Linked DNA regions of Lepisosteus oculatus. The protein of the gene in region 1 purifies or fractionates together with the protein of each later gene. This does not show direct contact. Links are inferred from orthologs where the notes say so. Each region holds a gene or a part of one and is shown in the gene's direction. Other genes may lie near its edges.

Evidence for each region.
Region 2: the proteins of chd4b (region 1) and cbx1b purify together in Homo sapiens (affinity purification with mass spectrometry; 7 studies listed by BioGRID and IntAct, with this or other methods). This does not show direct contact. The link is inferred for Lepisosteus oculatus from reciprocal best matches to the Homo sapiens genes CHD4 and CBX1.

Annotation. Positions count from the first base shown.
Region 1 is NC_090718.1:3,156,272-3,167,136, reverse strand, and holds the start of chd4b (chromodomain-helicase-DNA-binding protein 4), read left to right. Parts: upstream 1-5,984; 5' UTR 5,985-7,226; coding exon 7,227-7,290; intron 7,291-10,865. UniProt on the Homo sapiens protein: ATP-dependent chromatin-remodeling factor that binds and distorts nucleosomal DNA. Acts as a component of the histone deacetylase NuRD complex which participates in the remodeling of chromatin.
Region 2 is NC_090723.1:9,003,727-9,014,338, reverse strand, and holds the start of cbx1b (chromobox protein homolog 1), read left to right. Parts: upstream 1-5,588; 5' UTR 5,589-5,836; intron 5,837-5,846; exon of another isoform or gene 5,847-6,387; intron 6,388-7,004; 5' UTR 7,005-7,189; intron 7,190-8,228; 5' UTR 8,229-8,288; coding exon 8,289-8,337; intron 8,338-10,612. Other genes in the region: sorting nexin-11, read right to left, coding at 2,263-2,349, 2,666-2,689. UniProt on the Homo sapiens protein: Component of heterochromatin. Recognizes and binds histone H3 tails methylated at 'Lys-9', leading to epigenetic repression. Interaction with lamin B receptor (LBR) can contribute to the association of the heterochromatin with the inner nuclear membrane.

The DNA of each region.
Region 1 (10,865 bases):
AGCCCCTCGATCTCTTTCTGTCTCTCCCAGATGCTTCTGTCATTAGTAACTGTGTGCTGTCAAGTAACTGGGGTGCCCTATTGGAATTCCAGAGACGTCTCTTTTATTAGGCCAGACTCGTGTGTGCATACAGCATGAATGCGTATGACGTCTGCATGTATGCCTTGCGGTATATTCAGAGCATAGATTTCAGTGTGTAGGTAGGATAGGATGAGGGGTGGCGGGGAGGGGGGGAAGGTTGTGGTTGGTGCAGACTATTATGGGCTGGCCGGCTGACCTCATTACAAGAGCGTTGCCCTTGGTAACTGCGGACGTCTGGGGAGTATTATGAGATGGGAGTCATTCTGGAAATGACTCCTCCCTGTCTCTCTTTGCATATGGGGGAGGGGGGCAGAGGGATAGGGAGAGAGAGAGAGTGAGGCCTGTTCTGTGTGTGAAATGTTCCTGCGACAGCACTGGTTCAGATCTCACCTCCGCTGGTAGTTCTCCAAGCAGGCTGGGGTCCTAACTTCGGCACTGGTGCTCAGAAACACAGGGTTTCACCAACATCATTGCACATCACTCTCCCTAGGCTCTGTCTCTGCTTGTGAAATCCCTTTTTTAAAGGTTCATACCTGGAAAGTTTCTAGAGCTGAAATTGCACCGAATCTTCAGTGAACCATATTAAATGAGAGTCAAGAGAGGAATTTGACCTTTTACAGGGTTTCATTTCCCGGAAGAAGAAAACACACAAAGCCAATAGTCCCAGCAGACAGAACTCCTGTGAATCTTTTGTTTTAATTTTCTCTTTTACATCGCAGACCCTTTGTTTATTTCACTTCTAGATCCAAGCATCTCTCCTGGGCCGTTCTTGAAGGAACCCGAGAATCTTTCTCAGGAAGCCTCAGGAGCTTGTGCCAGACACCCACAACCCTTGGTGCACAGAAATGGCCTTGTTCCACCATTGAAGCCGGCGTTCATACCTTTTGCGGTTTTAAAATCTTCAGTTAGGTCCCCTCTGAGTCTTCTTTTTCACAGCCTGAGGAGGTTCTGTTCATAAATGATGAGAAGTTCCTTGCTTATGTACAGTATATAATGCTTTTCCTCGCAAAGCTCTTTACGGACGGGAGAAGACACACTTCACCCAGCACTGAGGTACAGTACCCACGTAAGAGCATCCCAGCGGCGCCACTTTACAGCAGATCAGCTGGGGGAGTGAGAAACTGGCTTCACAAGTTGATTTAAGGGGGTGCTGTAGAGAGGCCAGATCATTCAAGCCCAGAATTAAATTTAGCCAGAACATCCAGGGTAACACCCCTGCTCTGAAGAACCAGGGCTGTGGTTTTATCACATCCAGATACGGACACACATTACAAGCAGATAAGTGGAGAGAACAGAGACAGAGAGGGAGAGAAATTCCTGCAGAACCACAACTGGGTACATTCCGGGAATTGAAGGAGTGTCCTACACTGACAGGCAAGAAGATCCGAATCTTTCTGTGCTTCGAACGGAGGTGAGCTGATTCAAACAGTATCAAAAAAGTGCTCAAAGGCACTGCCAAAGTGAAACCAGAGGAATCAACAGCGAAAAACACCAACCGGAGGGGCACACAAAGTGGAAACACAGGGGCATTGCATTACAAAAAAGGTGCAGAGGACTGGACTTTACACAAAGGGTTGTGGGGGTGTGGAACAAACATGGGGCTGAAGCCAATAAGAGCATGAGCTCTTGGATCAGATAAGGCTATTACCAGATGGGACAGATGGGCACACTTACCACTCACTGTCAAGCTTCCTTACATTCTGAGCAAAGAGAGACGGACAGAATCTCAAAGGTTCAGACAGAAAGCGATGAATGGAGAGACAATGTGGGAACAGAGGCAGATATAGACAAGAAGATAGACAGAATGGGACAGACAGACACACCGACTGATGTACAGTACCATCCTGGACCATTAACAGTCTCACAGACAACTCAATAGATTGACATGAATGTAGAATCTCAGAAAGACAGGTGAGAGGAAGTAACTATCACTGTTCGAAGAGGAGAGACAGAGAAACTTTATACACCTCTACAGTAAAAATACATGTAGTGTAAGAATTGCTGCATCATTTTCATACTTAGCATAATTGTGTGACGCACACACCCCCACGTTCCTCTTTTGACTCCATCAGTCACTTAGCAGCGCTCCAACTATTATGGGATGCGTTTGGGTCCTGGCTTATTATGGGATGGCCTTTGTCTGGTCACACCCAGCAGAGCGGGCTTATTATGGGATGCGGTGTGCACGCGCGAGAGTGTGTGTGTGTGTGCGTGCGCGCGCGCGTGAGTGTGTGTGAGCCGCAGCAGTAGCAGTAGTGGGAGACCGGCGTTCCAGTGTGCAGTGCTGATGTCACCCTCCAGCAGAGGAAAGCACAGCCCTCCCCTGTACAGAAACGGCTCAGATCCCTGACCTGCCCGGTTCTGCATAGTTTTTACCCTGTCAGCCAACAGCATAGCCTGCTGTGATTTCTCTCATTGTTTTATTATATTGAACAAACTTTTTAACCCTGCATGATGATTATTTACTTTAAACCCATTGTATAGCCCCGCGTATATTATTATTATTATTAATGTATTATTATTTCAAACATTTTTTAATTCGGTCAGATATATTAGATATTTGTAGAACCCTCCCTAACAGTTCTTATTCTTATTCTTATTCAACAGCCTCTGAACTGCTTTATCCAGAATTACAGGGAGCTGGAGCCTCAATGAGCAAGTCATGGGCAAAAAGAAGGATACGCCATTAATGGGACACCAATTCTGTGTTTTATTATTATTATTATAATAATACACTGGAAGAAGGCCCCACAGACGAAACATTGTGTTTCCTTTCTTCTCTTTTCAGCCTGGAGTAAACCTGTTACCTGTTCCTTTGCAGTCTACGCATGGTGACGCAGCTCCCTACTTGTACTTATTATTATTATTATTATTATTATTATTATTATTATTATTATTATGATATTAAAACCAACAGTGCAGCCCTGTAGGATGGGGGTGAGTTTTCTTTGAGCTCAGGTGGCGGAGCAGCGGGAAGACAGGACAGCCTGACAGACGGGCCGCCTGCTCAGACTCCGCCGCAGAGGCAGCGGGACAGCGGGACAGCGGCACCAAGCGCAGGACCCGGCAGGGGAGAGCTCGGGCCCGCAAGCTCTTGAGGTTCTTTCGAAAGCTGTGAAAATGTCCCATTTTCCACTCCCTCGGGGGTGGGGAGGGTAGAAGGTGCTTTTGAAATTCCAACGGCTCCGGGTGATCACCGTTCCCTTGCCCCACTGGACGCCGGCCACATTCCCAGTCTGCGGACCTGCAGCCGGGGGCCCTGAGAGTCTCTGGATGAAAGGTGCCCCCCCTGGACCGGATTACCGGGAGATTTCCTGGATGGGGATCGGGGTCCAGGAGAGCCGGCGTCCGCTCAGATGTGGACTGGTCAGAGCTCTTTAGCGTGTGACGTCAATGTGGACAGCTTCTGCAGCCACCAGCGCAGCTCTGCACATTCTGCCCTGTCTCCCAGAGAGGCTGCTGACTTTCTGCCTGTCTGCGCCAGTGGCCGTCGGACCGCAGAGAGCAGTGCGCTTTGGGGAAAACGGTGTCTGTTTGCTTAGCCGTACAGACACAGACCCACACTGTATACACACACACAGACGCTCTCTCTGGAACTGTGTTGGTGTGGGTGGTGTGTGAGCAGACCGGTTATTATGGGATGTGTGGGGGGGGGGGGGAGAGGGAGGGCAGGGCCGGACTATTATGGGCTGTGCGCGGAGCTGGAGGGAGGGGGGAGGGGGAGCTGGGAAATTATGGGATGTGTGCGGGCAGCCTCTGTGTCCCACAGGCTGCTGGCCGAGGAGGGTTGGCGGGGGGGGGGTGGAGGGGGAGGTGGGGGAGGTTGAGAGGGAGAATTTGAAGGGCGGGAAGAGAGGCCCCCCAGGGTCATTAGAGGAACGCATCCTGAGAAAGAGTTCGCACTGCTTCGGGCCTCTCTCTGCTCGTCTGCGGCCGCGCGCAGTGCGAGCGCCGCTCCAGCTGCTCGCTGTTGTCAGGTGCAGCACCTCCCCCGAATCCAGAACATTCTGATTGCAGGTTTCACGGAAGGCACCCCAGAACCCCGTCGATCCTGGTGATGGGGGATCGGGCGTACCACACGTGTTCACGGAGCACCTAGACTCACAGAACATTCCTGGGACATTCCTGGACGAGGCACGTGCACGCCGGGTCGAATGGGGCCAGGGATTGAAAGAAATAAAAAGAAAGTATTGTACAGCACAAAAAAAAACACTCCGCAGTCGGGAGTGTCACTCGGCTGGGGAAGGAGTGAGCGACGGTCAGGGCATCGCCCATTCTGGGAGCGTGTCAGTGCGTTGGCCCACTGCAGGCCAGCTTCCACATCCCACGGCTCTGCGAGACACCACCACCGTAGTGGACAATAAAGTATCTTCTCCTGCACAGGTCTCGGGTCCCGGGATGGCAGGTTTACCCACTGGCCAACCGTGGTCTAATGTGATCTTACGGGTTTCGCATTGCTGAAAATGCTGTATTCCACCACTGTCTATCACACTTTTTCGAGCTGTAAGCAAAGGCGATTGTGAAATAACTTTATTGCTACATTATGCATTCCCAGTGCTGTGCTGTACTGTACTCACTGCGTAACAGTACTGTTCTGCTCTGTTACAGTATGCAGAGTGTACAGTATCAAACAATAATAGCTTTGCCTAATGCTGTGCCTGAATTTAATTTGTGTTTTGAGCTATTTTTGGCAGAGAATTTGCATGTAATTGTCTGAAACAATGTCTGCGTGCGACTGTCTGTTTCTGGTTTTCTGCCTGTGTGTTCCTCAGCCTGTCCGCCTCTGTTTCTATGTGTTCATGCATGTCCTGTGGGTGTTTCACTCGGCCTGTTTATATCAGTACACCAGGTGCGTATAAGCCCCTCTGTGAAGGTTAGAGCAGGGAAGGTGGAATTAACCTCTTCTTGTGCCTGTCTCTCTGTCTGCCTGTCTGTGTTTCTTGATGTCAGTCTGTGGCTTTGCATCTGTTGGTCCATCTGTCTGCTGTAGTCTCCTTAGCCACTATCCTCCCTGTATCCCCTGGCGATGCTCTCTCAGGATTTTCAGCTGTCAGGGTGAATATTATGGGCTGTCCAGTGAGGTGGGAGGTTGTCAGGTGCTAATTATGGTCTGTCAGTCAGCTTCCATGGCAACCGGGTAGCACATCAGTCATCCTAACATGTCCCCCTCAAGTACACACACACTTTAGCACCCATGCCTATGGTTTATTATTATGGGGTGTAGTTGGGTCTGGATGTTACTATTAGTATTATGGGATATCTAAAGGGGGGAAGGTAATGAGGGGGGGGGGTTGCTTCCATGACAACCAACCCTCCCCCTCACTTTTCTCTCTCCTGATTGGTCATTATGGGATGACACCCCCCCTGTAAAAAAATCTCTATAGCAACAAAGAGAGAGAGGAATGGAGTCTAGTCTGTGTTGTTGTTATTATTACACAGTACTGCCATATGAAATTAAGCAGCCCGGGCACAAAGAGTAGGTAATGCCACATGCCCACAAGCACAGAAAGGGAGCAGACTCAAACACAGCAGCACTGCAGAGTGGTAGATTTTAGGCCTTGTGTCTCTTGTGAGGCCTAACTCAGGCTTGTACTGTTTATGTCATGGGGACACTGGATGTTTTGACTGTGCCTGTGTTTGGAGGTGGAGATTATCTGAACATGTGAGACCTCTGTTTTGCGATGAGCAGGTATGGGGACATGAGCACAGCTCTACAGCACACTGACAGTGCTCTGTACACACCGACTGACACCCTGTCAGGCTGTCGCTGGGACCTCACAATGTCAGGGGTCTCTATGGAAACCAGCAGACTGTAAGGCTGTGCAAACTCCGTGTGTGTGCGCACAGTCTGCATGAGAGCAGCGTGCACACGTGTGTGCCGTCTGAATCGGCCTGTGTAGCTGGTGTGTGCCGAGCATGTACAGTGCGTGTGCACACATTGTACAGTAGGAGAGTATTATGGCCTGTCATTTGTGGCCTGGGTTGCCTGGGCGACCAGGCGACTGATAATTTTTTGGAGATATGCATATTATGGGATGGGTGATCCGCGAAGTGGAGCCCGGGTATTATGGGATGGCCGTCGGCACGGAAGGGGGGGGGCGCGACCGTCTCCACGGCAACGGCGGTTGCTAGGGGCCGGAAGAGCCCAGGGGGTGTCTTGCGTGCGTGTGTATATACATGGGATGGAGTATTATGGTCTGTCCGTTGCTGGGGTAACTGCGTGTGGAGTGTTAGTGTGTATTATAGAGTGGGGGGGGGGGGGTGTACAGGATTATTATTATGGGATGCCTGCCTCTCTCTCGCTTTTCGGTTTGCCCCGGTCTCTTTGTGTGTGTGAGAGGGAGAGGGCGAGTGTGTGCGGATGACTGTGCGGCCGGACTGGACCAGACATTTTGTCGTGCCCGAAATACCCACGGAAATCAGTCGCCTCTTCGAAGAAGCTGTCTTCGCTCCTGAGCCGGCAAGGAAATCGTTGTTGAACTCCCCTCGTGTAATCGCTCTTTTTGTTTGGGGTTACTCGTAACCTGGCACAACTCGGGATTATACAACCCTCCTGAGTCGGACATTTCTACTCCGACACGTCGGTTGTCTTCTTTGTATAAAGGGGGGGACATTCAAGAGGAGACCGCTGAACGCCAACTTTGACCCTTTTATCCGGAATACTTATTATTTTGTATGCAACTCCCAGCTCACTTTACTTCGCTGCCGGCCACTTTCCAGAAGCCGGTATAGTACTAGTATTGCAGTTTAGACATCTAACTGAAAACATCGACAGTTTTTCTTTTCCGGAGAGTTTATATCCTTTTAACGTTGAGTTTGGCGGCGCCCCCCCCCCCTGGTTTCAGTAGTGTGTGTGTGAGGAGCATCGATTCTAGTTTGGGATACAAACTCGGTCCTTCTCGCTGGTATTGCCGGTAGCGGAGAAATTTCTACGAAGACCGGGTTTATGCACTGTGTGACTCTTTTTCTCGTAAAATAACAAAGAAGGGCTTTTTCATCATCGGCTCGTCGGCTCCCTCCAACCCCCTCCAACCATTACCACCCCCTCCCTCGATAATTCCCTCCCCGGTACCGACACACACACACATACACACACACACAAACTCACTTTCAGATATATTTATAGGAAAACCATTTAGCACAAAATGTCCGGGAGTGAAGACGAGGGACAGGATTTCGGAAGCTTGGACGACCGCTCGCTTTTGCAAGGTAACTGAAATATTTTGGCTGTACTCGCATGTCTAACCTAACGCAGCACACGTGAAATGGAGCTGTCTTTACAGAGTATTTAAAGATAGTGCACTAGACTAGTCTTTTTTAGACTCGATCGTCTATTTTGGGAGTTATGTTACCGCTTCAAACATTTTAACCGAGGACAGGAGCGTCTCGTTCTTTAATTTCCTTTTTGGGGGGGTTGGTGAGTGGGTGACGGGGGCCTGCGTGTCTGCGTTTGTCATCGGTATTTGTTTTTTTAGGTCTGCGTTTTAATACGTTCTTTTATCGTGGGATGTGCGTTTTACTGTCTTTTTTTTTAAAAAAAAGAGAGAAAACTGGATCGCAAAAGTTTGTACATTGAGTGATGGAACAAAATGCCACCCGGATGCATTAAAACATCTCGTTCAGATTTTCCTGGGCTAGTTATTTTATAGTCTCGCTCGTGTTTGTGTGTTTATATATGTGTGCGTGTGTTTGCAGTGATAATTTGTACTTGTTTGTTGTTACGGCTGAAGAATTGCACTGTAAATAGGAAATGCCGGTTTGCAATTGAACCGGCATTTTTTAGACTAGGGGCCTACTGTGTCTTCACGTGTGGGAGTCGGTTAACAGGGAACAGAGTTTTTTTTAATGAATTTCCTGATTTTTGCAAAAATGTAATCGGCCTGAAAATACCGAATTGCCCAAAACTGATGTAAGAACTTTATCGTTTTATTTTGTAATCCCCCTTTATGTAGTCAGCAGTGTGTGTGAGCACACCGGAAGAAGGATACATGGAAAATTTGCTCTTAAACCACCTTATCCGATTTTGTGGATTTTAAGTATCCTTTCTGCGTAAGTCAAGGATTAAAAAAAAAAGTCTTTGAAATAAAATGTTAATATCTGGGAAGCGTTACGTAATTGTCAAGAGTTCCTGTTTCGCTCGCTGTGGATCTCGTCTTAAAGTGAAACAACTAAGAACAAAATCTTGCATATCATGAGCGAATAGGGTGTGAGGATTGAGAAAATACGTTTAGAGTAACTATTCTAACATACTCGAACAGTTTTTGTAGCACTAGTTGGGCAGTTGGGTCTTCTCTCCGTATTTATTACGTGAAAGCCGGTGTGCCAGCAAGCAGGCTGGGGACCGCGGCCTGCTTATTTCCTGTCGCCGACAGAAGCCTGACTCCTACGGAAGTCTGTTTTTAAAAAAAAAATCATAAAGGGAAATTTCTTTTTACTGGGTAGTACCTTGAGAACTTAAATTTAACTTGTTTTGAGGGTACGCATTACAGAAAGAGAAAATATAGGTCATGTTTTATTAAGTTTATTTTTATATGTTCGCACGGTAACTTAGTTTTTATTTTAGGTTTAGATTTAGGTCTAATCGGATTTATCAGACGTGAAATAAAGTAGCAGGTTTAGTTATTGGTAGAGCTGTAACAGAGGTCGGCTCAGTTCATGATACATTCTTTAAAAAAGTACATTTAAAATCAGTCTAGTATTCTGACTATGGATTTGTATGCCTATGATACTTGTAGTCCCCTCTTAATAAAAGTCCACTTTTGTCTGGAGTTGATTTCTGATCTAAAGCTAGCTCACTTATTCTGGCTTTTTTCACTTGAAATTGCTTAATATACAATACACTTAATACACCTATTGTGATGTACTTTGACTTGAAGTTATCTCCTCCAACCCCCCCTCCCCCAGTACATGTACTGTACCTTCATTTTGTAATATGATGAACTATAAGAAAGTAACAGCCCAGCTGAATAATCTGGTTCTATTGTATTTTTGCTCTAGCTTCTTAATGACAGTTCTTGAGCTTTTAAATATATTCCCTCTTATAAGTGACCTCTTCTGTTGTGCATATGCTGGTCTCTAATCAATGTGTAGTTTGCCCTCACTTCTGCAGTAGTCTTGTATTACAGGAGCAATTACGCACCACTTTCCCCACCGCTGCCTGTTGTAAAATAGCCTCACTTCTGTGCTTTAAACCGAGTGGGACAGAGGTGAGAATCCCAGGCTCATTATGACGTGTCCAGTCACCCCCTTGAAATCCTGTACTGCACCTCTGCTTGCGAAGGATGGGGGAGTGTCCACAGGGCACCGGGTTGCCTGATATCGAAATGGCGTTGCTTGGCTGTGAAGGGCAGGAGTGGGGGCGGCCGGTGGCTGGATCGGAGGGCTCGGGACCAGGAAGTCCCTGGCTCGGCCGCGGCGGCGGCGGCGGCTCTCCCGTCGTGTCACCCCGAGCAGGCTCCGGGGCGTCCTTGCGCGCCGTCCTTGAGCCGAGGTGGAAAGCGGATCTCGATATCCATGACTCTGCAGCCTCACTTGTTGATGTGCTGTGCTGTGCACCCCCCCTTCTTGTCTCCTCTTGCGAGGCGCCGTGTGCTGTGTGCGTTTTCTCCCCTTGCGCGATTCAGTGTGACACAGGGCCAAACTCGGAGCCACCGGCGACGCATCCATAGGGTTAAGGGAGCCTGGGCCTTGCGTGAGTCACTCGAAGCCCGATGTGCTAATGCAGATGGCTGCTTATACCACAGGGTAAAGAAATGTTGCAGGAAAGCTGGGCACCGTCACTGAGTGTGTGGGGGTGGGGGGTGGGAGATGCTCCTCTTAACAATAGATTAAATGCGCTTGATGGAATCCTGGATAATTAGATCTCGGATTAAATCGAAACTTAAATCTGAGGACGGGCGCACCCTGGCTGATAAATCCTGATTCCGTCCTTCTTTGTGGATATTCACGGGGGGGATAGACAAGAACCTCTCGGCTAATTGAAACCCGCCATCTAGTGTCCGGGTTTGGGATTAGGGAGGGTGGGTCAGAAGGTAGCACTCGCCCACGGCTCTGGTGTCTCTGGGTGGGGGAGGGGGGAGCCGCGCAGCGTCTTGGAGCAGACATGGCGACGGGGCTGAGGGCGTATGAAGGAATGAAGTGGTGTTTACAGTGCGGCGGGGCTGCTGTGTATACAGAAGAGCCCGCAGCAGCCATCATGTTTACAGTACATGGAGCAGCAGCAGCCCGTGCGGAGGGGCTGTGGGGGCGCTGTCGGGGAATCTGCGCTCGGGCGGCTTGCTTGGTTGAACCCAGCGGTCCGCAGGCTGGGCAGTGCCAATATCTGAGCACGGACGGGCTTCCCCAGATTGGGGGTTGGCCAGGTTAGAGCTGGCCAAGGTTTTCCTCTGCTGCCACCTGTGTTTTGGGGGTCACTACCAGAAGTAGTAGGGCTGTCTGGGAGATCGATGTCCTCCGGCTGGCACTGTCGGGCTTGCGGTGCGGGGACGATCATGAGCGTTTTGGGTAACTGGTGCCCCTAATTAAAGCCCCCCACCTCAGTCTGCACCTGTATGGCAGCTTCCTAGTTCAATCCTGGCAGTTGTGAAGGGGGTGGGCCAGTTGGGTAGCCTTACGTTTGCAGCTTAGCTGCCATTCTCTCTGCCAGGCCAAATTTTCGTCTTCCAAAGCAGCGATGTTTTCAAATAAGGAGCATCTGAAATCTACCAGGATCACTAGCAATGAGATGTAGTTTTGGTAATGTGTCTTGAAGGTCTGTACTTACCCAGCTAGACTGGTAGCCTGGC
Region 2 (10,612 bases), on another chromosome or scaffold:
GAAATCTCTCTCTCCCTCTCTCTCTCTCTCCAGGGGCTGAGATCTCTTCAGTGGCCTCTGGGGCGGGTCCGTTTTGGCAAGGGGGGGAGGCACAGATGGGAGATCAGTGCTCTCTAGTCCTCGGCAGACACGCGTGTGGTGCATCTGGGCGTCGGAACACTCTTAGCAGCTGCCTGCTTGGTTTGCACGCCTTTAATTCCTCGGGCTGCAACTTGGATTGGCTGTCCGTCCCTCAGGAAAAGCCGGGCGACCCCATTTAAACAGGACAGAATGTCTTTGGACCACGGGAGAAAACTGGAGCCCCCAGAGAAAACCCACACAAACACAGGGAGAACAAGCACGCTCTCAGAATCGAACCTAGGACCCAAGAGCTGTGAGGCAGCTGCGCCAATAATTTTATAGAAATAATAATCATAGAGCAACACAGAAACTAAACAAGGCTCCTTCCCTTTTAAACTCCTTACAAGAGTTTAAAAGCAGCTCAACTGAGCCACACAACAGCTTTAAAATATTTAACGCTTTTTAACCCAGATGATACAGTACAAGTAGGAAACCAAACAATAAACAGGAGAGCCTGAGATCTGCAGGTTGCACTCTTTAGGAAGTGAAATGTCAGTGTCTGAACGGGGTTTACAGACGACCCACCAGTGAGTCTCGCAGTCGAAGCACCGTCTCTCACCAGCGACCACAAACCAGGCTGTGCACATCCTCCCTCGCTCCAGTCGCTGTTGCGTGCTCCAGCACAAATGTGCCTCTCTACAGACAGAACCGGCCCGCCAGCCTCTGCCCAGGCAAAAGAGTCTCCTCACTGAGCAAGTTCCTCTTGCTGAAGAAGCCATCAATTATTATCTAGGGAGAGCGGACGAGCTGCTGTTTGGAGGCAGCAGGAAGCGAGATGTGGAATCTGAGTTTTGTGGAAAGTCCCAAAGTTCCTTAGGACCGTAAGGTACTTCACATGGAAAAGTGCCCGTTTTAAAGGGAAGAGTGTCTGTCAAGCTACATATATTCTGATGTCGCAGCACAGCCTCTCTGTTGCTCACGAGGTGAAATTTGCTTGATTTCTGCCCTAAAGCGGAACCATCACTGCTTCCTGAGCGGGCTGACACTGGTCAGCACCCTGTGTAGTGTGAGAACAAGACAGGGCCGGCTTCCTTGCTGCTGTTTGATACGGGCTGCAGTTTAGGTCAGCTAGACTCTAGGTCATTGTGCCCACCCAGGGCACAGAGCAGTAGGTTTTCACAATCTCTTTGTATCACTGACCCTTTCAGAACAGGGAAAAGGCAGAGAAACTGGCGCAGATGGCTCTGGGCCTCTCAGAGCTGAGCTGGAGTAGACGCTTGCATTCGCAGTTGAAGGATTTTTTTAATTTATCTTTTATATAACACAGCGCTAATCTAAAAAATATTGCAATCATAACACTTCTGCCTATAATCTAAGCCCCAGTGACCTTGCATCTGTAAAAAGCTTGTGTTTAAAATGCTTCTTTTGTTAACAATATATTCTTGTGATTCTCACATAATGTGCACACTGCGGGCAGCTACAAATTCAGGTTTTGATCACAGGAAGGCAAGAGAGGGCTGTCACCCAGCTGCTGGAAACGGGGGCTGTGTGGGAGTGAGGATTGTAACTTCTCTAATCTGGCTGTAAAGAGAGCTCTGCCAAGGGAAACAGGGAGAGAAAGAAAAAGGAGACAAAAGCCTTTTGTTCCTCGCATGCTGCTGGATGGCGCCTGAACTGCAGCTGAAATGAAGGCCTGATCATCGCTTCTGCTCTGTAGCCCGGACTCTGATTCTTTCCCCGGTCTTCTGAAGAGGGGTTATCCTCACCCATCTGCCTCCACAGTGACACAGACCAATACTGCCCCAAGGGGTGAGTCTGCAGTGCTCCCATCCCTTTGAAAATAGCCTCTCCCACTGGGCTACTTTACTACCCAAGTTAAGAGGTTTAAAGCAAAGTCCAGATCACTGGATACTGCGAATTAAAGGAGAAAACGGTCTTAGGACCATTCCCCCTATTAACAGCTAATCCTTCCTCATGAAGGCCCGGTCAGGAGACAGCGATCCCCACACTCAGCCTGGAGCTGGCCTCAAGACATACTGACCCCTTCCAGTGCATCCAGTGACAGGACTCTGGCCAAACTACAGCGGCGTTTGTCTGCAGACTCACTTCTCCATGGAATTAAAGTTCTCGCAGGAGGTCCCAGCCGAGACACTTTAAACAGCGGAATTCAGACACGTCTGGAACTGTAGAGGCGGTACCTACGTGGAGGAATATTTTGAAGTCCACATAGGAGTTCCAGGATCCCTCGTTCTGTATTTTTGGATCCTGGACCCTCACAGCGATGAACTCCTGCACGGGAGACACAGCAGAGCGGAGAGGGAGGGGGCTTGGGTCAGGCAGCTTCCGATAAAAGTCAACTTTCCCCTTGAATACGGTCAAGAGAAATTGTTCAGACAAGTTGGAAGTGCTGATCAAGGTATGATCAATACTGCAGCAGACACAGGACACTCACGGACCAAGTAACAAGGACCAGGAAGATGAGGTGTGTGAAACAGCCAGCAAACACAAAGCAGTGCCTAAGGATGGAGAAGATGGGTGGAGCTTGGGCCCCTGACCTGGTCTAGCTGTACAGTTTCAGTTACCGGAAATAAAGACATTTTCTTACGTCTTCCTCCTGATTTCTGATCATTCTAATCCTTGGGCTCCTCCTTCAATATCATTGGGCAAAAACAGGCAGCAACATGGAGGTCACAGAATTCTGGGAAGAAAAGAAACACCCTGGGCTGAATCCTGAGATATCACAACGAGACAACCTGTCTTGACCTTAATGTTTCCTCTTATTGCTTTCTGAAACTGCTAACTTGCCCAAGATATCAATGTTTGCTGACACCTCTATTTCCAACTTGGGGAAGAGGAATTTAGATATTCATAACTCATAACAAAATATAATTGTATTTTTTCTAGGTTTCTTTTGGGTTTATTCTTTTTTTTTTTAAAAGAAACTTTTTTTTTCCTTCTGCACGACTTCTCCGGTAGGACTGATTCCCCCGATGGGAGAGATTCCCGCCGGACGCAGACCCAGACGGAAGAAGGTGTGAGGCAGACACCGTTCTCCTCTTCAGCACAGTCGCTGTGGTGCCACTCTGTCCTGCATCTGGCCTCTGTCTCAAAGACAACCTGTCCTCCACCGACCCCCACAGTGCAGAACCTTCTAGGCAGCCTGCCCTCACCAACACAGGCCCAGAACAATTCGACAAGGAGAAAAACCACAAGAAACAACTCTGCCGGAGTAAGTCCAAATGACTTTTCCCCCTTCTTTATCACACTGCTCGGTCTCTGTCAGAAAGGTCAGGACCAAATACGAAACACCCTGCATTTTTAACAGGTTGGTCCCACAGGGTTTCAAATATTTCATAATGAAGACTGTCGACTCTAGTTATACTCACAGTACGTTTCTTTAACTCGGTCTCCAACAGTGGCATTGCTCCCTACACTCTTTGACTCTGTGTGAGAGCTGGGAGACTGTGAATTCACATCTCTGCTCCTGTTCCCAGCTGGTCACTGTGCTGTGCAGTGTCACCTGCGCCTAGTGTCTTCTGCTAAAACACAGGCATGACAGGAAGGAGAGAGATTTACAGAGAACTATTATTATTATTATTATTATTATTATTATTATTATTATTATTATTATTATTTGTAGAGTAAAAATCCACCACAGACCTTGTTGTCGAGCAGAAGAGGAGTTTATTGTATATTTGGCCAAAGAGAGGAAGAATTAGGAAGATAGTTCTAACACGAAAAGTTACAGCTGACCTTTTATACACTTACTTGATAAAGAATACAAAGAGCTTAAGTCTCGAAAAGAAAAAAAATACTTCAATCTTAGTTAATTTCTATTTGTTATGCAAACTTCTACTTTAATCAGAAGTTGTCTACGTAATTAAGCTATCAGTGTTTTCTAAAAGCATGTAGTTACAATTGGCCTTCTTCACAAAAATAATTCCTTGGGATTTTTAAAACATGCTTTTTGTCGGCAGGCCCCTGGTCTTATCAACAGCAGATACATTTAATGTCGCAGCTGGTGCTTTGCTGAACATGCTGTCCAGAGAAAGACTTTTTAACCCTTCAATTATTATTATTATTATCATCATCATCATCATCATCGACGAGACGTTGAACAAGTACGAAAGAACAGACCTGACTCAGCATTGAGAATACCAGCACCTGTTATTGGACTTATTTGCACCTTAAAAACGGGGATGATTATTGAACCACAATATCAATGCCCTTCGACAAAACTAACGTACAAGCAAAGCAAAGATATCCCACAACAACAGCGCTCAAATGACCACGCGTGTTCATAGTGAGGAGCAGTTACAGTCACCAGTAAGAGGTTATTGCCACTGGTTACAGGAATAAGCTACAGAATACAAATTCCTCGTCTGTTTTTTTTTTTCTGAAAGTACGCTAAAGTACGTTATATCACAATGCTTTAATTGTGATTAGAAAAACCCCATACCTTCTGTTGAAGCTCCCTTGTTACTCACTGCCGTGGCCTGTCGTCAAAGTTGGAGACACGGAACTCTTCTGCTCTGTCCTTTCATGGGCGATGCGATTTGTTTTTCTCCGGCAGTGACGCGCGGTGGCTCCTTGGGAGTTGTAGTTTTCTCTACTTTTTATGCCTATTTAATGTTAGCGCTGTAGTGTCCTAGACAGGATGCAACTTCCATTCCGATTGGGACTTTGGGAACGTTAGCCACAGTCGCCGTCACGTTTACGTATACACAGCTCTCGTTCGTCTGTTTTTTGAAGACGTGCTGTCGATATAAAAAAGATCAGATGCAGACGTCGCGCTGCCGATGTTCTGGGTGCGAATTTATCGACCTCATTGACTTTACCACCGGCTTGCGAACAAAAGAAATGAGTGCTCTCAGCCTGCCAGTCCTGAATCACACCGACACTATCCAACCTCGGGGCAGCACAGCTAAAACACCCCAGATCAGAGTCAGCCCAATCGCAGTGCAAAGACCTCATCCCCTGGGGGGCGCACACACACAAACAGCACAACACAAACGTGACTTGATCCTAAAAGGACAGTGCACGCTGGACAGGTGAGTGACCACACGGTGAAACAGACCCTGACGGAGGCCAGCCTCAGTGTCCACAGCCTGCCCATAGAAACTGAGTGACACAGAGAGCATGAAAAACTGGAGACAGAGGTACACTTTCTGATACACTGGAAGAAATTACTCAATTCTGCCACAGGAAAAGACATAAAACCCACAAATTTCCGCACCTGCCAGAATCAGACCAACTTCCTATCCTACTTCAGGGGAGGGGAAACTCAATAGAGCTACAGTCCAGTATCTGATCTTCGGTCAGTGCCTGAGGGACAGAGTGGGCCTCTCGAGTAATATTATCTCATTGTCCTGAATGCTTGTCAATATTTACCAACGGTTATTGCTTTCGGAAGCATTGTATTTCGCCGGTCATGCCAATAAAGCTCTTTGAATTTGAAGAAGGGGGGAATGCCTTGTTAGAAAAATAAACTACACTTCCCGGCCCCCTTCACCTCCCAGGCCCGCCGGGGCGCCTGCGCAGTGCGTGGCGCGAGGTGGCGGGTCGATGAGGCTGTGGGTGCCTTTTGTGTCGAGAATAGAGGGAGAGAAAAACAGGGAGACGTGAATTTTGAACTTCTTATTTTAAAAAAATAATCGCAGGTTCTGCAGACACGTTGGGCCGGAGATAACGACGAGGGCCGAGTGGTTCAAAATCGCAGTAACTTTTTTTTTTTAATTCTCTTTTTACCCGAGCATCGCTTTTCTTCTGCTGAAAGGTAGGTTTGCGTTTTCTGCTCCTTGAGGCTGGCGCTGGTGCGTGCCCTAGCGACACACGGGAATTGCAGACGCACGGGGCTCATGCCTTCTGCAGGACCCGTGCAATTGTGTGTGCGAGTGCGTGACGCAGTTTCATCCCGTGGGTCGCTTGCCCACGGCTTTGTGCGGCCGGGGAGCCCTGCACGCCGCCTCCTCCCCCCCTCCCCTGCCAGCGCTGGGGTTTCTGTCGCGATCGGGGAGCAACATGGAGGAAGGAGGCGGGTAGCCAGCTAGAGCTGCACGGCGGACGGGCTGTAGCAACCCGAGCGCCTCAGCGCCCAGCCGCTCGGCAGACGCCCACCGCGGGCGGAGGGGAAGCGCGCACTTCGAGAGCGTAATGGCCTCCGTGCGCGGACAACATCGGGGTTTGCTCCCCGGGCGTCTGAGGGTTTCGAAACGGGGAGGGATTGCTCGAATTTGCTCGACTCCCCGCCCTCGCCCAGTCCCCTCTTCCTCCGATCTCGGTTCTGCCAGCCTGCAGCCAAGCCGGAGTTTGAGTTCGTGAGTCCCCGTGGGTGCTATATTTCTTCTTTTTTTGTTGTTCTTGCGAAGATCTGATTATGCAAGCCGGTGGCTTTATTTTGCACGGACTGCTAATTCAAATCGGGCTGCGCTCTGCTGAGCATTTAACGGCGCTTCGTAACCGCAGCGCTTGCGCGACAAGGATTCACCCTCCTGCCTCAGACCCGTCCTATTAAGTGCCGAGCAAAGCTTTTTTTTTTAAAGCAAACTTCTTTTCGCTAGATCGGTAAATTGCAGCGTAGGTGGGCTTTCTTAATTCTTAGTTTCGTGTACCAAGTTACTATTCAAAGCGCTGTAAGGTTATTTGGGATGCAAAGCGCTTCAGAATTGCAAGGATATTTTTGCAGTTGACAAGTGATCTGATTTCCAGTGCGCTTAAGAACCATAGTCATTATTATTTCAGCGCTCGATGGTATCGCTGGGCAGAAAGGTTTTTTGTGATGCTCGTAGTAGAGTGAAATAGTGTTATTGTGCTGCAGGAATTCTCACGCACTGTAACTAAAAGCATGTTTGACTGTCAGGTGAAAATGTACACGCCAGAGTCTCTCTCAGAGACTGATTTTCTGCATTTCTTAGTTCCGATGTGTTGTATTTCTGTCTCTTCAGTGCTGCGGCAGAGGTAGTTTTGTGGCACCGCGGTAAGTTAATCTGACACCTCCTGAAGCTGCCGGCTGGCCTTTGAGCCACAACACCAGTCTATTCATGTTGCATTCCGATGCCCTCAAGCTGTGAAAGACCTTTCTGAAAACCGCCTCTAACACAATCCTGCAGTTGTTTAATTGACGATACAGGTAGATATACTGGGAGCTGGGTCTGAGATGTGTGTCCTAATGTCTTGGCCAGAAGATAAGAGAGAGCTTCATTCTGGGCTGAAAGGAGACGCGAGGTTTTGGCTGACAGGGAGAAACGTTGTGTCTTTATTCTTTTCCTTTCAGCCCAGAATCAATCTTCACCTGTTCCTTAGTGGCCTGTGCATGTTGAGGCAGCTCCCCACTCGGAGGTCTGTGCCAAGAGCGTTTATTTCCTGGAGCCACCAGTAAACATTAAAGAATCAGAAAAGCAGCAGCCTTTTTCATCAGAACTGAGAGCCCAGCGGTGGTCTGGGCCTCTCAAACTGGGAAAGAGGGCTTGGTGCCCCAGTAGATACCCCGGGCAGCCATGGGTGTCCCCAGGGGGCCTGGGTGACTTTTAACTGGTCAAACCCGGTTGCCAAGGTGACATCAACTGGCCACTTTGGGTTAGTTTCCCTAGCGATTTTGCCCCGTTTTGGATGGTGGTGCAGTACCAGTTCATGGCCTGCCCTTGCGCTGGCAGGGAGGACTGGGCGAGGGGACCCCACACACCCCCTCTTCTTCCGGACCCCCGGCTGTGGGGGGGGCGCAGATGGGGCTCAGCTAGCCGACTGGGGTTCCCTGCGTGATGCTGAAAAACACACGCCCCTGCTTGCGCTGTCACCTGGAAAAAGATACCTTGCATCTGGGAGTCTCAAAGAGTGTGTGACTGTGATGATGATGATGATGATGATGAAGAGCTGAGCGCGTGTGCGTGCTGTCAGGCCAGGCGCTGCTGTGAGAACTGTTACGTTGCCGCACGGAAGCGAGGGAGACCCTTGGGGTGGGGCGCAGGGTGCCGACTCAGTCCTGCGGAGCCCCACCAGCGCGGGTTCTGTGCGCCCGGGTCTGGGGGGCTGCGCGGGCCCACCCTGCCCTGCCCTGTGGTCTCGCCCGCCTCCCTGCGGTGCCATGTGTTTTTTTTAAACCGCTGTGATTTCTTTTCGTGCTTCATGATCCCCCCTGCCCCCCCCCCCCCTCACTCTTTCACCCTGTTTAGCTTCTGTTGACGTTGAGAAGGATCCAGGTCGTTAGACAGACAGACTCTTCCTCCAGGAGTATGAGTCAGCCTTCAGCTCCCTGTAATGACGCTCCCACTAATAAAGCAGGTCACAGACACCTTTCTTCTATGCCAAGTCTACCAGTGTCTTGTCTTCTGAATGTGGGGGGGGCGGCCGGGGGGCTTTGGGAGGAGTAGCTGGAGTTTTTTTGAAAGGAGTACTGCTGTTCAGTTCAAAGCATTTTGGGACCATGTTTGCAAAAAGCTTTGCATGGGGAGCGTTCTGGCGCACTATGGCTGCCGTCGCATCATCCAGGTGGGGCTGCACACTGGTGGTGGTGGAGGGGATCCCCATTACCTGTAAAGCGCTTTGAGTGGAGTGTCCAGAAAAGCGCTATATAAGTGTAAGCAATTATTATTATTATTATTATTATTATTATTATTATGAGAAGTCGGGGGGAAGAAGGCTCTAGGGGACCTATCCTGCTCGAGGAGCAGACTGCATGGCCTGCTGGGCACTGCAGCTGGGGGTCTCAGGGGTTGGCCCTCCCCCCCCCCCCCGGCAGAGCTGAGGCAGCGATCCGCCCCAGAGGGACCTCCAGCATGATTCGGTCCACGCGCTCAGAGCCGCGGAGCCCTGGAGAGGCCAGAGGGAGTCTGGGATGTCCCCGCTGTCGGGTCGGGGTGTGTGGCTGACCCTGCGTCGCCTGGCCGCGGCCCAGCTCGGGCACGGGGGGGAGGGGGTGTTTTCAACTGAAACTGCGTGCAGAACTACTCCTTTGAAGAGAACAGCTACAGTGGCCCGAGCACAAAACTCGTGAAAGAGCCATTTCTATTTCTCTCCTTGTTGTTTTCGTGCTTTGTTCTGTATGGGAAGGTGCGAGGCATTGTTATAAATGTGTGGCTGTACTGACTTTTTTGTGTTCGTACCGCTTGAGAACTTGGTCTCCGATGGCTTTTTGTTCCTTTCCGAGTAGCAGGCTATGAGATCCAGTGCGCAGGGCCTTCCCCTGCCAGCTCCCTAGAGCTGGCCCTCTCGAATGAGAGCCCTGTGCTCCCCGTTGTGCTAAAGCAAGCAGCTGGAAACCACATGGTGGAAGTGGGGGAGTCCTGCTTAGTGGTGCATGTTCACCAGACCAGTTGCACTGCTGGCGATAATTACACATCCCTCCCCCTCCAGACTCCACTGTGCAGGCAGCCCTGGGCCTCCGGTGGCCTCCCTGGTTAAGGTGTGTGCGTGTTAGGATGGCTCTTGCTTCTTAGCTGCCAGGCGCCAGACAAGCCAGTGCAGATCAGTTCGGAAGAAGCATGGCGCCTGGACCCGACCGCCCCTGCAGAATTCCCCTCCTGCGCTTCAGAGCCTCGTTCAGCGTCTCTGCTGTCGGTTGGTTTTTTCGACCAGCGCTGTGTGCTGGCGCCTCTGCACACGGACCTGACTGCGCCCTGCGGGGCGGCACAGGGCAGGGTCCGGCACTCCGGGCGGAGAGACGCAGAGAGCCATCTGGGGACAGGGGGCATGGGTGTCATGCCAGCTGGCCTCCTGACCCCCCCCCCCCCCCCCCGCCTGCGATGTCTGTGCAGGAGCGAATACCAGGGGAGTTTCCCACACTGCTCTCCCCTGGCTCAAACACTGCGGTTCTGTCGAGCAGAATTTGCATTTCTTACAGCAAAAGAAAAGCTGCAATACTAATAGAAAGCCATACCAGAAGGGTAAAAAAGGCTTAAACCTCATTCCTGGTGTCCAAAACGGCAAGACAGGCCATGGAGGTGGAGGTCCAGGTCTCTGGGCTTATCCCTGTGCTGGAACGTCCCCTCACCCTCCACCCTCTTCTGAACGTCTGCCCTCAGAACAAGATGCTTCATGTCACTGTCTTGTCACTTTACACCTTGTTCTCAAAACCAAATGAGCGCATTCTAATGGGTGTGATTCCATAGCTCTTTTTGAAGTGACTGTCTTGAGTGTCAGTTTTTAAGTTTCAGAAAAGGAATCGCCTTGTGCTTTTTCTACTTGCTGGCGTTTTGCCTGTAGCACGGTAGCCAGTTGTGCCGGGAGCACTGTCACGGGCTTTGTCTAGGAGCCCTTCGCAGGAGACACGAACGTGCCCCTCTGCCTTGCTGAGCTGCTGAGCAGTGCAGGACAGCCAGGGGCTCTGGGGGCTGGGAGTAGCAGTTGATGCTGCTGCCAGTGTGAAGGTACGCGTTCATCCAGCTCGGGTTTGAGACTGCGCTCCCCGGCATGAAGGTGCTCTTCCAGACTGGCAGCAGGCTCACGCGTTCCTCTCGGGGAAACGGTCAGCCTCCTGCGTGGGTTGGCCATCTTGCGCCCGGGGGGTCCTCTGGTAGGCTTGTCCTGCTCACAGACCCCAGTATCAGAGGCGTGTGCG